Kluyveromyces lactis: one gene and its partner. The protein of the gene in region 1 interacts with the protein of each later gene in a pairwise test. Links are inferred from orthologs where the notes say so. Each region holds a gene or a part of one and is shown in the gene's direction. Other genes may lie near its edges.

What was found.
Region 2: the proteins of SYF1 (region 1) and CEF1 interact in binary tests that used the Saccharomyces cerevisiae proteins (3 or more experiments, as listed by UniProt). The link is inferred for Kluyveromyces lactis from reciprocal best matches to the Saccharomyces cerevisiae genes SYF1 and CEF1.

Annotation. Positions count from the first base shown.
Region 1 is NC_006037.1:178,258-182,023, reverse strand, and holds SYF1 (mRNA splicing protein SYF1), read left to right. Parts: upstream 1-1,169; coding exon 1,170-3,566; downstream 3,567-3,766. Other genes in the region: VMA8 (H(+)-transporting V1 sector ATPase subunit D), read right to left, coding at 1-750; AFG1 (Afg1p), read right to left, coding at 3,686-3,766. UniProt on the Saccharomyces cerevisiae protein: Involved in pre-mRNA splicing and cell cycle control.
Region 2 is NC_006039.1:634,723-637,866, reverse strand, and holds CEF1 (Cef1p), read left to right. Parts: upstream 1-884; coding exon 885-2,516; downstream 2,517-3,144. Other genes in the region: EFR3 (Efr3p), read right to left, coding at 1-238; CAF20 (Caf20p), read left to right, coding at 2,729-3,144. UniProt on the Saccharomyces cerevisiae protein: Involved in pre-mRNA splicing and cell cycle control.

The DNA of each region.
Region 1 (3,766 bases):
GGCAGCTTCTACGCCAGTTTTGGTCGCTTCTTGAGAATCTGGTTTACCTTCAGACTCAGCATTTGCTTCATCTAATTTCTTCTGCTTCATTTCAGCATCCAACTGAGCAGTTTGAATCTGTTTCTTTTCTTGCACTTTCTTCAATCTATAAAACTCTTCTCTATCCAATTCGTCTAGCTCGGAGTTGATATAAGCAATGGTGTTTTCCGTTCTTGGAATGATCACATGTTCAATGGCATTCACTCTACGGTTGGTAACTTTGATAACTTCGTCCAAGATAATGAAAGCCGTTTGTAACGAAGCCAATTCAACTAGTGTTTCAACAGCCCTTGAGTAAATTTCCTTAGCACGCTGAACTTGTTGACCACCACGACCTAGACCTGTCATTTTGAAGTCGTTGATGTTGGAGTCGATGAATGATTCAAATTGAGGCAAGTACACACCACTCACGTTTTCTTGCGTGGCCCTAACTTTGAATCTTGCATTGGCAACATTCTCTTGAACTTGGTACCCTATATTTTCACCTGTAGCATATGTGACCTCCGCCAAAGAGAACGCAGCTGTTTGCATCACTCTGCCCATCTTCTGCTTTGAATCATCTATTCTTTTAGTGATATCACGGAATCTCTTCGTTAATGCTTCAGACTTTCTCTTCAACAAAGAATAACCCTGATTAGCACCCTTTAACTTAGTCTTCATAAGACCCAAGGTCATACGAGTGGGGAAAACCTGTTCCCTATTACTAGACATTTTTCGATAAAATTCAAGATGCTAGGAGTGAAGTCGTTCCTTCCTTGCTGTAATATGTTATCAGTACGCTTAGTACCAAACTCACCTGATTGGTACAGTAGAAAAACAGTTCTTTTCAAAGAAAAAGCAAACGATTACAAGTAAATGTGTTCCAGGTTGGATACTTGTCAGTGCCAGCCTAATTGCAACGTTCTGCCCCAGCTGATATATGCCCCCCTTTTCTACCTTTCTTTCGTCAAATGATTGAATGTCTTATATTTCAGATATTTTGAAAATTGGTTAATTTCGAAATTTAGATATTATTTCATTTACGGTGATATGTCAAAACGTTTAATGAGATGAGTTACAATTAAAGCTCCATCTAAGGTAAAGTTAGTGCACTGTTTTTCCACCAGGTACTGCGAGAGACATATGTTTCGATGGAAATAGATAAATTTGTCAAGGAGGAAGATATTCCGTTTGAGTATGGTGTTGTTAGAGAAAGAGACAATGCTGTATCATGGTCGAGATATTTGGCAACTAAAAGATCAGCAGGCGATGAGTTGAATTTAGATTGGCTATACGAACGTTGTTTGAAGGAGATCAAGGACGACTGGCATCTATGGAAAGAGTTCTTGAAATGGAGGATAGAATTATTGAACGATTGTGATATTTTCAGGCACAAAGATGAATACAATAAGATATCGTTACTATTCGAACAGTGCTTAACATCATGTGGCAAAGTTGGGGATGCATGGATTATGTATATGGAATGGGTAATACAGTTTAAGGATTTGAAGAGGATTAGAGAACTGCTTGGAAAAGCGCTACGATCAATGTCGTGGGAGTACCATGAAGCAATATGGCGTGTTGTCATCGATTTCATTATCAATGAATTGTTAATAGACAACAAGAGGTATGAACTTTCTTTAGAGGATTCCATCTACTATTTTGTTCACGGAGAGCATTCGACGAATTTTGATACAGACCTCTGGTCTTCCTCAATCCTACAGAGATATTCACTTATTTGTGACGACATAGAGCCTTTATTGATCTACATTTTTAAGACTCATGATTGGAGCACGATCGTTCGAGTATTTGAAAAACATCTATCACCTAATTTAAAGCCATCTCAGACAAGTTTATTTGAACTTTACGTTAGTTACATCACTTCAATGATTCTTGTGGATAATTCAGCAGGGGTTGCTGCGGTAGTGGACCAATGTATCGAATTATTCCCTTTCAAGAAGGGTGAACTTAAGACATATTTGATATTTAACCTGATACGTCAAGGAAAAATAACGGAAGCTGAGCTGTACTTAGAGAAAGTTATAAGCGAAACTAAAGACATTATCGAATTTTCTGTATTATATGATTTTTGGATTCGTATGGAGGAGCTATTGACCCAAGAATTAATTCAAAAGATGAAAGACGATAATTCAGAAAAGCAACGGCTGTTCGCAAATATAAGACTACATGCCGACACTCTAACCTCATTAATAAAAAACCACACTATTAGATTAAACGACTTAGAATTGAGGCGAGAACCCAACAACATCAAATTGTGGCTAGAACGAGTGAAGCTTTTTGATACCATCTCTGATAAAGCTAAAGTTTATGCAGATGCTGTTCTTACCGTGGACTATAGACTTCAGACTACTCCAGGGCTATTAGGAGAATTATGGTGTCAATATTGCAGACTTTTTGAAGAGGATATTGAAAAATCCGAGGTCTTGCTGGACAAAGCCACTAACGTCCCTTTCAAATTTTTAGTAGATCTTGAAAATGTTTGGTTATATTGGTGTGAATACAGACTAAAAAGAAGCATTGACGATGCCATAAAAGTTTTGTCCGTTGTATTAGAAATACCAGATAATCATGAATTACTCCTACAAAAATTTGAGAAAGGAGAATCGCCAGCACAAGCAGCAATTTTCTCATCTAAACGCTTATGGGCAATGTACCTTGACTTATTGGAGGTCAAAGGAAACTATGGTACAGCTGTAAATGCGTATGAAACAGCAATACTCATCAAGGCAGCAACACCAGCCATGTTTATTAATTATGCGTTATTAAATGAATCTTCTGGCCATCAAGCAGAAGCTTTGGCTGTTTTCGAAAGGAGTGTTGAGATTTTTCCTCCAAGCGTATCGAAGTCTATTTGGGATATATATCTGGATGTGGCACTCAAAGCTGATATCACTAAAGAGCAAAAAAGAGATATTTTTGAATCTGCTATTAAGCTTGCAGCTTCAGGAGTGGCATGTGTTTCGTTCTTTGAAAAGTACAGCGACTTTGAGTTAAACCTTGGTTTCCACGAGAGAAGTGTCGAGATTTTGCACAAAGGAGCCAAGAATATTTCGGATCTTGAAAGTAAATGTACTTTATGGGAAGAATGCATCAATAGAAGTGAAAAACAATTGGACGTCAATCACACCAGAAAACTATATGAAGAATGTATAGAAACATTGCCCAATTCTAAAGCAATCAAGTTTCTACTTCCATTTGCTATCTTAGAAGAATCGCGTAATGAGGTTGCTCGTTGTAGAGCATTGTTAGACTACGGGAGCAAATTACTGAAGCCCGCACAGAATGAAGAACTTTGGGATTTCTGGAGGAATTTCGAAACTATGCACGGTACAAAAGACTCGTTCAAGAACATGCTAAAAGCACGTAGGTTCCTAGAGGACACAATGAAAGTAAATACAGAGGAAGTATCCAGACATGCAGATAGCATCGAATTTAGGGCGTCAACTGCGAAAATTAGTGGAAGCGGACCACCAAGCGCAGAAGATAAAGGATACTCAAATACGGCTGAAATTGATTTAGGTCTATAAAATGGATATATATTGATTAAAGTTGATAATGGCATATCGATCAATCTCTTATGTTTTGTTTTGGAAGATGTCGTATTGTCTTTCTTTGATGACGTGTAACATACAAAAACACTAGTATCTTACTGTTTTTCGACCCAATCAGTTGAACTCATGTGGGATAATCTACTTAGGGCTCTTGCAAATGCAAACCGTTCTTCATC
Region 2 (3,144 bases), on another chromosome or scaffold:
CGATTTTAGCCAGTAGCTCTAGAGTGACAGAGACATTACCGGAACGTCTTCTGTTCAAATCCGTTGTCGACCTCTTCACAAGGTAACTGCTGACCTTTTCCAATTTTGGACGTCTCGAATTAACATAATATAACAAGTACGAAGTCTCTGACCCTTTTGGCTTCTTATCGGGAGTTCGGCCTGGTGGATAACACTGATTCACCAATTTCTGGTGCTTAGGGGTGAAGAGAAAGCCCATTGACACGGATCGTTGGAGTCTTTTGGATGGGTTTTATCGTCGAACCATCAATAGTGTTGGCGATTTCAATATAGTATGCAATTTCTAAGTTTAAAAAATGTCTTCGAACAAAAAACCCTTTTCCAGTTTTTATTGCGTAATAGAGAGCCAATCATTATATAAACAAGGGAACTAGAAAAACTATAGCTGAAAAAGAACATAATAATGTTAATGATGATCATTATTTAATAAGAGAAGAACAACATATACTTTCTCATTATCTGTCATGTGTTTTCTGAAAGAATTTCAGAGTTTGTTGTATTCTAATAAAATATAGGTAGTTTAAAGACCGAAGTACTGACTGGAGGAAGTCACAAAAGAAACCAGTATCCAGCATTGCTGAAATAATACGAAAAAGGTACCTATGCTCTTGCGAGTAAAGCAATATGTAAACTATGTGTTCGGATACAGTTCCCTCTTTATTCGCTGACATTGTTTTATTTCTTTATAACACTGTGTAAATCTAGATAATCCAATTTTGGGATTGGATTGAAAATAAAATTGACATATACTTGGTGGAAACATAGGAAACTAATTAATAATAGTATCAGCTAAAGCTGTAACGTTGGTTCAAAGGGAAGTTAATCAAAGGCGGTAACCACGTACGATGGCTCCTGTTCCGATTTATGTCAAAGGTGGTATTTGGACGAACCTTGAGGATCAAATATTAAAGGCGGCTGTTCAAAAATATGGAACACATGCATGGAGTAAAGTAGCTTCGCTTCTACAGAAGAAGAATGCCAGGCAATGTCAATCTCGTTGGAATGAATTTTTGAATCCCAGTCTAAACTTCAAACCATTCAGCCAGCAGGAAGATGATAAACTACTAGATTTAGCGAAAAGAATTCCAAACCAATGGAAAAGCATCGGAGAAATGATGGGTAGACCTGCTCAAACATGTATCGACAGATATAATATCCTCCTGGCGATTGATAAGGATGATTTAGAGCTTGCAGCAACTACAGGGGTACAGATCGGTGAGATCAACCCAAATAACGAAAGCTTACCAGCCAAGGCTGATAAAGATGAGCTACTTGACGAGGAGAGAGAAATGTTGGCGGAAGCTCGTGCCAGGCTATTAAACACTCAGGGTAAAAAGGCTACTCGTAAGATAAGAGAACGTATGCTAGAAGAAAGTAAGCGTGTTGCATTCTTACAGAAGCGTAGAGAGTTGAAACAAGCGGGCGTTGATAGTAAAATCAAAGCTCCCAGGAAGAAATATTCTTCGCAGATGGATTACAACGAGGATATTGCGTATGAACAGCAACCACTACCGGGTATATACGATACCTCAAAGGAGGATGAACAGACTGAGAAGCTACTCAAGAGTTTTGAGAAATTGGTAGAAAGGAAAGGTTTACTTGACAGGAAATCTGATGAAAAGAAAACCATACCACAAAAGAGAAGGCAAGGCGAACAAATAACGTCATCAGTAACAAAATTAGATTCTGTACTAACTGATGAGTACAAGAAACCTAAACTTGAGCTTACTCCTGCTACTTTAAAAGGATCAAAACGGAAGATAAACAAAACAACATCTATACTTCATTTATTTGAATCATTGCCTTCTCCTAAGAACGATTTTGAAATTGTATTGGATGATTTAGATGAAGAAATGGAATCCACTGATGCTTTTAATACTGAAAGTTCGTATGTTAATGGTAAATATCCCCTAGAAGCCTTAATATCTTCCACGGAACATCAATCGGAAAACAAGGCAATGGAAATAATGGAATACATACCGACAGTATTCCAAATAAAAACAGAATTACAGGTACCCAGTCCGATAGTAGATCCAAAGAATGAAATTGACCGTGAATTGAATCGTATAATCTCAGCAAAGGAGAATGGTAACCCCATTTACAATTCCACGGAAGTAAACAATTACTTAGAAGAGATCATTAATTCTGCATCCACCACCGAAGTGCCCAGCACTGTCTTACATCCCAAGTTGGAAACTAGCTTAAAAACTATAACACCGGCTACGGAGCACGAACTGCTCGGCATGGAACGAAAAGTGCATGAACTGCGAACAGCGCTTGAGGATTCCGTCAAGTCTCACAGAGAGGCTGTTTCACAACTTTCACAAGATTTTGAAGAAAAACTACATCCGACAGTGTCAGGCTTAGCATACCAATACTACACTGACTACATGAAGTACAGGAACGACCATAAGACTATGCAAGAAGAGACACAATCTCTTGCGGAACAGATCAAACTTGCCCAGCGTAGTCAATGATTACCCGGACCCTTCTTTTTGAGTCTTCCTTCCATAATCATGAAATTTTCAAATTATGAACTTAAAGATGAAAAGATTTACGAAATTGCAAACTTTAAGAACAATATGAGACAGTTAGCAATTGCTCTGTGTGGACATAACAATTCTCCCCTTTATTTCTACTGGAACTCTTTCGAAGCCATCACAAAGCAAATACTAATTCCCGGGCCACGATGATCAGGTACACAGAAGAAGAACTTTTACAATTAAGACCAACCGAACCAGTTAAACCAAACTTCGACGTTGATGAATTCAACGCTATAATTGAAAAAGTGAAAGAAATCCAAGAAGCACATGAAGAAGAATTTTCTCACTTCAGAAGAAGATCTTCTCACCACCATGCTAAACCAAAATTCAAGCATTTGAAACCAAAAATTACTACCGATGAGGAAGGATGGTCTACACTAGAAACTGCTCCAGCGGTCAGAAGAAAGTCTGTGGCTGAAGAAGAAGAACCAACCATTGTCATCGCTCAAGAAACATTGAAGGTGAAGCCAAACAAACACATTTCATCCTCAAGACCAGCTGATGCGAGGGATATCGTCGCAGACAAGCCTTCAAAGGCTTTCAATGCATTTGCTGCTCTAGA